Saccharomyces cerevisiae S288C: one gene and its partner. Changing the gene in region 1 together with any one later gene gives a genetic interaction. Each region holds a gene or a part of one and is shown on either strand. Other genes may lie near its edges. The genes, in order: YEF3 and HEL2.

Region 1 (5,682 bases):
GAAACAGATAGCTATTATTATATTATTCAAGAGTTACTAACCGGTGGGGAAATCTTCGGCGAAATTGTTAGGTTGACCTATTTCAGTGAAGATTTATCAAGGCATGTAATCAAACAATTAGCACTGGCTGTTAAACATATGCATTCACTAGGTGTAGTGCATCGTGATATAAAACCTGAGAATCTTCTTTTTGAACCGATTGAATTCACACGCTCTATAAAACCAAAATTGAGGAAATCGGATGATCCGCAAACAAAGGCAGACGAGGGAATTTTCACACCAGGAGTTGGTGGTGGTGGAATTGGTATAGTAAAACTAGCTGATTTTGGTTTGTCTAAACAAATATTTTCCAAGAACACCAAGACTCCTTGTGGTACAGTCGGTTACACTGCCCCTGAAGTTGTCAAAGATGAGCATTATTCTATGAAAGTGGATATGTGGGGGATTGGTTGCGTTTTGTACACAATGTTATGTGGGTTCCCGCCATTCTATGATGAGAAAATTGACACTTTAACTGAAAAAATATCAAGGGGTGAGTATACCTTTCTGAAACCTTGGTGGGATGAAATCAGCGCCGGTGCCAAGAATGCCGTGGCTAAGCTATTAGAACTAGAGCCGTCTAAAAGATACGACATTGACCAGTTTTTGGACGACCCATGGTTAAATACATTCGATTGTTTACCAAAGGAGGGCGAATCTTCACAAAAGAAAGCAGGTACTTCCGAAAGACGCCATCCGCATAAGAAACAATTCCAACTATTTCAAAGAGACTCCTCGCTACTGTTTTCACCAGCTGCTGTTGCTATGCGTGACGCCTTTGATATTGGTAATGCTGTGAAACGTACCGAAGAAGACCGTATGGGAACACGTGGAGGATTAGGCTCGCTTGCTGAGGACGAAGAATTGGAAGATAGTTACAGTGGCGCCCAAGGCGATGAACAGCTGGAACAAAATATGTTCCAATTAACGCTGGATACGTCCACGATTCTGCAAAGAAGAAAAAAAGTTCAAGAAAATGACGTAGGGCCTACAATTCCAATAAGCGCCACTATCAGGGAATAGCAACTTTCCCTTCTGTTTCAATCTTTTTACCTATTCCTTTTTAAAAGATATATATACATTAAACTCCTTCTACAAGTATATATTTTATACATATCTACAGGGCGTATATATACATAACATTTTAAGATAAGCAAGTGAATGTTGATTCCCGTTTCTTAGTCAACACTTCTTTCTATTTTACCCGGTCGTTACCCTATTAAAAAAACAACTTACAATCATTGTTCGCCCCTTCCATACTTACTGCCACTCGCAAAAGGGCCCAACCAGGGCAATTACGTATCAAAAAATCATGACAGGCTGGGTAATAAATATTCGTGAAGAAAGAAGAAATTAAAAAAAGAAACGAAGAAGCAAAAAAAAGAAAAGACTCCGTTTAATCACTTTCAACCGCGGTTTATCCGGCCCCACCCATGCATAACCCTAAATTATTAGATCACTTAGCACGTGAAAAAGAAACGTTTTTAATGTTTTTTTTTTTTTTTTCTTTTTCTTTTTTTGCGTTGGTGAAAATTTTTTCGCTTCCTCGAGTATAATTATCTCATCTCATCTTTCATATAAGATAAGAAGTTTTATAAAAACCTTTTGCATCAAAATTTTGTAGAATATCTCTTTTTCTTACGCTCTCTTTCTTTCCTTAATTGTTTTCTAAAGAACCGTGTATTTTTCTAGTTCGAATCCATCGATAACATTAAAAGATGTCTGATTCCCAGCAATCCATTAAGGTTCTAGAAGAACTATTCCAGAAGTTATCTGTTGCCACTGCTGACAACAGACACGAAATCGCTTCTGAAGTCGCTTCTTTCTTGAATGGTAACATCATTGAACATGATGTTCCAGAACACTTCTTCGGTGAATTGGCCAAGGGTATCAAGGACAAGAAGACCGCTGCTAACGCCATGCAAGCTGTTGCTCACATTGCTAACCAATCTAACTTGTCTCCATCTGTTGAACCATACATCGTCCAATTGGTTCCAGCTATCTGTACCAACGCAGGTAACAAGGACAAAGAAATTCAATCTGTTGCTTCCGAAACTTTGATTTCCATCGTTAACGCTGTTAACCCAGTTGCCATCAAAGCTTTGTTGCCACATTTGACTAACGCTATTGTCGAAACTAACAAATGGCAAGAAAAGATTGCTATTTTGGCAGCTATCTCTGCTATGGTCGATGCTGCTAAGGATCAAGTTGCCCTAAGAATGCCAGAATTGATTCCAGTCTTGTCTGAAACCATGTGGGACACCAAGAAGGAAGTCAAGGCTGCTGCTACTGCCGCCATGACCAAGGCTACCGAAACTGTTGACAACAAGGATATTGAACGTTTCATTCCAAGTTTGATTCAATGTATTGCTGACCCAACTGAAGTTCCAGAAACCGTTCATTTGTTAGGTGCTACTACTTTCGTTGCTGAAGTTACTCCAGCTACTTTGTCCATCATGGTCCCATTGTTGTCCAGAGGTTTGAACGAAAGAGAAACCGGTATCAAGCGTAAGTCTGCTGTTATTATTGACAACATGTGTAAGTTGGTCGAAGACCCACAAGTTATTGCTCCTTTCTTGGGTAAATTGTTGCCAGGTTTGAAGAGTAACTTTGCTACCATTGCTGACCCAGAAGCCAGAGAAGTTACTTTGAGAGCTTTGAAGACTTTGAGAAGAGTTGGTAACGTTGGTGAAGACGATGCTATTCCAGAAGTTTCTCACGCTGGTGACGTTTCTACTACTTTGCAAGTCGTTAACGAATTGTTGAAGGACGAAACCGTTGCTCCAAGATTTAAGATTGTCGTCGAGTACATTGCCGCCATTGGTGCTGATTTGATCGATGAAAGAATCATTGACCAACAAGCTTGGTTCACCCACATCACCCCATACATGACTATCTTCTTGCACGAAAAGAAGGCCAAGGACATCTTGGACGAATTCAGAAAGAGAGCTGTCGACAACATTCCAGTTGGTCCAAACTTCGACGACGAAGAAGACGAAGGTGAAGACTTATGTAACTGTGAATTCTCTTTGGCTTATGGTGCTAAAATCTTGTTGAACAAGACCCAATTAAGATTGAAGAGAGCCAGAAGATATGGTATCTGTGGTCCAAACGGTTGTGGTAAGTCCACTTTAATGAGAGCTATTGCCAACGGTCAAGTTGATGGTTTCCCAACCCAAGAAGAATGTAGAACCGTCTACGTCGAACACGACATTGATGGTACTCACTCTGACACTTCCGTCTTGGATTTCGTTTTCGAATCTGGTGTTGGTACTAAAGAAGCTATCAAGGACAAATTGATTGAATTCGGTTTCACCGATGAAATGATTGCTATGCCAATCTCTGCTTTGTCTGGTGGTTGGAAGATGAAGTTGGCTCTAGCTAGAGCTGTGTTGAGAAATGCTGATATCTTGTTGTTAGATGAACCAACTAACCATTTGGATACCGTCAACGTTGCTTGGTTAGTTAACTACTTGAACACCTGTGGTATCACTTCTATCACTATTTCTCACGACTCCGTTTTCTTAGATAACGTCTGTGAATATATTATTAACTACGAAGGTTTGAAGTTGAGAAAGTACAAGGGTAACTTTACCGAATTCGTTAAGAAGTGTCCAGCTGCTAAGGCTTACGAAGAATTATCCAACACTGATTTGGAATTCAAGTTCCCAGAACCAGGTTACTTGGAAGGTGTTAAGACTAAGCAAAAGGCTATTGTCAAGGTTACCAACATGGAATTCCAATATCCAGGTACCTCTAAGCCACAAATCACTGACATTAACTTCCAATGTTCTTTGTCTTCCAGAATTGCTGTCATTGGTCCAAATGGTGCTGGTAAGTCTACTTTGATTAACGTCTTGACTGGTGAACTATTACCAACCTCTGGTGAAGTCTACACCCACGAAAATTGTCGTATCGCTTACATTAAGCAACACGCTTTTGCTCATATCGAATCTCATTTGGACAAGACTCCATCTGAATATATCCAATGGAGATTCCAAACCGGTGAAGATAGAGAAACCATGGACAGAGCTAACAGACAAATCAACGAAAACGATGCTGAAGCTATGAACAAGATCTTCAAGATTGAAGGTACCCCTAGAAGAATTGCCGGTATCCACTCCAGAAGAAAGTTCAAGAACACTTACGAATATGAATGTTCTTTCTTATTGGGTGAAAACATTGGTATGAAATCTGAAAGATGGGTTCCAATGATGTCCGTCGACAACGCTTGGATTCCAAGAGGTGAATTGGTTGAATCTCACTCTAAGATGGTTGCTGAAGTTGATATGAAGGAAGCTTTGGCTTCTGGTCAATTCCGTCCATTAACCAGAAAAGAAATTGAAGAACATTGTTCCATGTTGGGTTTGGACCCAGAAATTGTTTCTCACTCCAGAATTAGAGGTTTGTCTGGTGGTCAAAAGGTTAAGTTGGTCTTAGCTGCCGGTACATGGCAAAGACCTCACTTGATTGTCTTAGATGAACCTACCAACTATCTGGACAGAGATTCTTTGGGTGCTTTGTCTAAGGCTTTGAAGGAATTTGAAGGTGGTGTTATTATCATTACTCACTCTGCTGAATTCACAAAGAACTTGACTGAAGAAGTCTGGGCCGTCAAGGACGGTAGAATGACTCCATCTGGTCACAACTGGGTTAGTGGTCAAGGTGCTGGTCCAAGAATCGAAAAGAAGGAAGACGAAGAAGATAAATTCGATGCTATGGGTAACAAGATTGCCGGTGGTAAGAAGAAGAAGAAGTTGTCTTCTGCGGAATTGAGAAAGAAGAAGAAGGAAAGAATGAAGAAGAAGAAGGAATTGGGTGATGCTTACGTTTCTTCTGACGAAGAATTCTAATCTTTTTGATCACTGCTTTCACAGTTTTCTTTAAGATTTTTATTGATCAATAATTTATGTATATTTTAATTTCTATGTTTTTGTAATATTGTTTATTTTGGTAAAATATAGACGCAACTTCCTTATTATAAAGAAAGGCATTATTTAAAAGAAAAAGCGTTCCATTAGTCAGACATCTTTTTTTTTCATACATTCTTAAGCTCAGGCAAATTGAGCATTGCCTCATACCCTTTTCGGTAAGAGGGTAACGAAAATATTTTTTTGGAAGAATAAAAATAGGTGACGGATCATAGACTAGGAAGCTTTAAAACATGATTGAGCGTAATATTATATTCCTTCTAGAAAAGATAAAAGAGCCAAGACCTAAAATTTTTTCATCCCTGTTCTATTAAAATTGTGGAAATGAGGTTTTTGAGGGGATTTGTATTTTCTTTGGCTTTCACTCTATATAAAGTAACTGCCACGGCAGAAATAGGATCTGAAATTAATGTGGAAAATGAGGCACCACCTGATGGTTTATCCTGGGAGGAGTGGCATATGGACCATGAGCATCAGCTAAAAGATTACACTCCAGAGACTTTCTTCGCGTTACATGATATCAAGAAGAAAGGATTTTTAGATGAAAACGATATTCTATCTCTCTACGGGTTGAACCGTGAAGAAATTGTGGGGGCTGGTGATGGTATGGGACAACACGATGAATCTGAGAAAATTGACAATGAAATGGCTAAGCGTGTTGTTAGCCTTATTATGAGGTTATTGGATGTTGATGATAATACCAAAATCACCA
Region 2 (4,307 bases), on another chromosome or scaffold:
ATTGCCTTCAAATAGGTCATCTAAAACTTTCTGCTCTCAGCGGGCCGTGTTTTGAAAAATCTCACATCGAATATTGTATCGTCTTTGCCTCATTAATTGCGAATAAATACTAGATTTGTAGATATCACAAATCAAAATCGGGCTATACCACGACATTTTAATAGTTCAATTGGTTTACTTATTTGGTAATGGCGTCTATCAATCTGATTAAGTCTTTGAAACTTTACAAGGAAAAGATATGGTCTTTTGACTTTTCTCAAGGTATATTAGCAACAGGTTCAACTGATCGAAAAATTAAGCTAGTTAGCGTGAAATATGACGATTTTACGTTAATTGATGTGCTAGATGAGACTGCTCATAAAAAGGCGATTCGATCTGTGGCGTGGAGACCTCACACTTCGCTGTTAGCGGCTGGCTCTTTTGATTCCACTGTATCTATCTGGGCTAAGGAAGAATCTGCTGACAGAACTTTCGAGATGGACCTGCTAGCTATTATCGAAGGTCACGAAAATGAAGTAAAAGGTGTAGCGTGGTCGAATGATGGATATTACCTAGCAACCTGTTCCAGAGATAAAAGCGTGTGGATATGGGAAACAGATGAAAGTGGCGAGGAATATGAGTGTATTAGTGTTTTGCAAGAACATTCACAAGACGTTAAACATGTTATATGGCATCCATCTGAAGCATTACTGGCTTCAAGTTCTTATGATGACACCGTCAGGATATGGAAAGACTATGACGATGACTGGGAATGTGTTGCTGTCTTAAATGGCCATGAAGGAACTGTTTGGTCTTCTGATTTTGACAAGACTGAGGGCGTGTTTAGACTGTGCAGTGGAAGCGACGATTCCACTGTACGGGTATGGAAATACATGGGTGACGACGAGGATGATCAACAAGAATGGGTTTGTGAAGCTATTCTCCCGGATGTACACAAAAGACAGGTATACAATGTTGCATGGGGCTTTAATGGCCTCATTGCTAGTGTAGGAGCGGATGGAGTACTAGCGGTCTATGAAGAAGTAGACGGAGAATGGAAAGTTTTTGCTAAACGTGCATTATGTCATGGAGTTTATGAAATCAACGTTGTGAAGTGGTTGGAGTTAAATGGTAAAACTATACTTGCAACAGGCGGTGACGACGGGATCGTAAATTTCTGGTCTCTAGAAAAAGCAGCGTAGATGTAGAAGCAAGAGTACAATTCAGGAACTCATATTAACACAGTGATCGATCTGAATTCTAAAAATAAACTTAATGACGATTTTTCTACCTAGTTACATAAACCTTTGTATCACTATAACGCAATTCTGTCATGTGTGACGGAGTGACCTCGTTATACATATCCCTGCATTAAAAGCATGCGGTAAAAACTGAAATTTAAAAATGAAAAAAAAAAAAATTAGATATTCGGAAGACTTGTAATTAAGCATTATCTCGAATAAAGAAAGGTTACACTGAAAGTTTCATACTCGCGGTCACTCTTAATAATAGCTATATTTTCTGATTTTCTCTTAAGATTTTGAAAAGGGCATCTGAACGACTGCCCACTCAGCCATATTCAACAAATCGTCGAGCGCATACCTAGCTGAAAAAGATCCATAAAGTGCATTTTGATACAGTCTCTTTCGTCGAAAAAATAGTGGCTATACTTCTTTTCAAGAATTAGGATGAGCGAATCAGTGAAAGAAAACGTTACTCCGACACGTAACTTCCGTCGTACTCAAGGGCCCCAAAATAATACAAAACCTCACAACGACAGGAAGAATTTCAGAAGAAAGCAAAAGAAAAATAACCTTTCTGCTGAACCCAACCTCACCACTTCAAGCGCAGATGATACTGATGAAGAAAATGAATTATGTGTAATTTGTGCGCGCAAGTTAACATACGTATCTCTAACACCATGCCATCATAAGACATGCCATATCTGTGGTTTCAGACAACGAGCTTTGTACAACAAGAAAAGCTGTTTGATTTGCAGAACGGAGAATGAAGAAGTCATGTTTACCGATCGCATAGATGGTGATATTTCAGATAAATATAACTTTTGCGAAAAAAATGAAAAATATGGAATAAATTTCACTAGCGAAGAGGTTGCTACCGAAACACTAAATCTTTTAAAATTTTTTTGTCCCCTATCGAAGGATGAACAAGTTTGTGACTTTGGTAGTTTCAAGAAATATAATGAACACTTGAAATCTGAACATAACAGAATGATCTGTTTAATATGTGCAACCCATAAGCATGCATTCCCTTGTGAGCTTGAAATATTCACCCAAAATCAATTACGCAACCATCAAACTAAGGGTAATTCAGAAGGATTCAAAGGCCACCCTATGTGTGCCTTCTGTTCCGGAAAACGATTTTATTCAGACGACGAATTGTACATTCACATGAGAAATCAGCATGAAAAGTGCCATATTTGTGATAAGATGAACCCCGCTTCTCCTCAATACTTTAAGGATTATAATCAGCTTTTTGACCACTTTAAACATTCGCATTACGTTTGCACCGTCCAAACTTGCTTAGATAACAAGTTTGTCGTATTTAAAGACGAGTTGGAGTTACAAGCCCACATTTTGCAGGAGCATGGTAATATCCTGAAGGGAAAGCCAAAGTTTTTCCAGTCAGAACTTTCTACTTTTATCTCGGCTCCATCTAGAGTGATCAGGGAAAGAGATGATTACGACCTTCCATCTATATCTTCCCTACCGGGTTCATCATCCGGCTCTAGAACTGATGTGAGATCTGCTAGTTCTCCCGAGGAAAGTAGACTAAGATTGGCAGAAAGAGCAAAATACTATCTGGAAAATTCCAAAGAAGACTTCAATAAGTTTTCTTCTTATAACGAAGATTATTCTAAAGGTCGCTTAAGTGCTGAAAAATTATTGGAATCATATAAATTGTTATTCACAAAACCAAATGCGGATGTATATTTATTGATTCATAACTTAGCTGAAACCTTTCCCAAAAACTCCTCCAAATACAATAATCTGAACGCCATATATGAACAAAGAGAGCAAACCCTTGCACGACAAACTTCACTACCTTCTTTATCTAGTGATTCTTCCCTTTCAATGTCAATAGGCAGGGGCCATTGGGGTGGAACAAACGATGGGGGCAGCGCTGGTGCAGCATTAGGCGTTAGGAATATCAAAAATCTTCCAACCCTGAAAAGTCCTTCAGCGTCGTATGATCCCTTTGCAACCACCGTAAAAAAAAACACTCTGAGACCCGTGCAAAACATTAAAAGAACTACACCTCAATCAGTTAGTTATCGAACTTCCACTAATACAGTCGCCTTCTCTCCAACCTATTTGGAAAGTAAAAAGGGTTCCTCTTCTACTTCTCTAAATAATAGCAAAGATAAATTGAAAAGTCTCAACCTACCTCAACTACCTCCACCAAAGCCAAAGGTGCAAATTCCAGGTCTGAACAGACCCCAAATTGCTGATCCTAAGCAGTGGGGTAAAAAGTCAAGCACACAAGATACTAACGTGCACGATAATTTGAGGGAATTGAACACAACTAGTGGAGGAAATAAAAAGAAAGGCAAACAAAAGCAGCTGTTATTCCACATTGGTGTATAGTTGGAAATATATTTCTAACCTGTAACTGACAATAGCATTAGAGAAATGAAAGTCTTAAATAAAATTCCGATAAAGAAAAACTTATTTAATTAATTAATATAATTACAAGACTAAAAAGCATTATTTCCCCTTCGCGTTTTACTTCTCCTGCTCAGACGTCTGCGTTATTTCTGAAAAAGGCCTGTGGACAATGCTAAAAGAGTAGTCAAATTATTGATTAGTTCCTCTATTGCCGCAGGACCAGAATTTCCTGTGGTTGACAGTGTTGTCTGCACAAGGGGCATTCTGGCCTCTCTTTACACCAGCTCATAAGACAACTCCAACAAAATAGATGTCCACATGGCGCGCAGCTAGGATCACTCATGTTCATGAGACATAGGATGCATTTTCTCGAGGCTTCTGGAATAAATGGCAATTGGTTTTTATCTGACAAATTTATATGAGTCAGCTGCGATTCCTTCGGTATGCCTTCTATAGATTCATGTTCTGAACGCTCCTGTAGACCAACAGACGACCTAGTAATTGAATCATTGGTCCTTTTTCTCCCATAAATCCAGGACCCGAGCGTAGAGGTTAGGACAGGGTACCATTTCATAACATTTTGAGCTAATAGGATATAACCTAATACTTTGTACTTTTGTGAGCCCTCTTCTCTAAAATTGGCCTCATTTTTTGACAATATATGTTTAAAAACATATCTCATACCAAAAATCCTTTTGG

Evidence for each region.
Region 2: of YEF3 (region 1) and HEL2, changing one suppresses a phenotype caused by changing the other (phenotypic suppression), as found in Saccharomyces cerevisiae (one study listed by BioGRID).

The regions. Positions count from the first base shown.
Region 1 is NC_001144.5:635,023-640,704, forward strand, and holds YEF3 (translation elongation factor EF-3), read left to right. Parts: upstream 1-1,757; coding exon 1,758-4,892; downstream 4,893-5,682. Other genes in the region: serine/threonine protein kinase RCK2, read left to right, coding at 1-1,062; nucleobindin SSP120, read left to right, coding at 5,295-5,682. UniProt on the Saccharomyces cerevisiae protein: Ribosome-dependent ATPase that functions in cytoplasmic translation elongation. Required for the ATP-dependent release of deacylated tRNA from the ribosomal E-site during protein biosynthesis.
Region 2 is NC_001136.10:999,384-1,003,690, reverse strand, and holds HEL2 (E3 ubiquitin-protein ligase HEL2), read left to right. Parts: upstream 1-1,667; coding exon 1,668-3,587; downstream 3,588-4,307. Other genes in the region: iron-sulfur cluster assembly protein CIA1, read left to right, coding at 189-1,181; PEX10 (ubiquitin-protein ligase peroxin 10), read right to left, coding at 3,814-4,307. UniProt on the Saccharomyces cerevisiae protein: E3 ubiquitin-protein ligase that plays a key role in the ribosome quality control (RQC), a pathway that takes place when a ribosome has stalled during translation, leading to degradation of nascent peptide chains.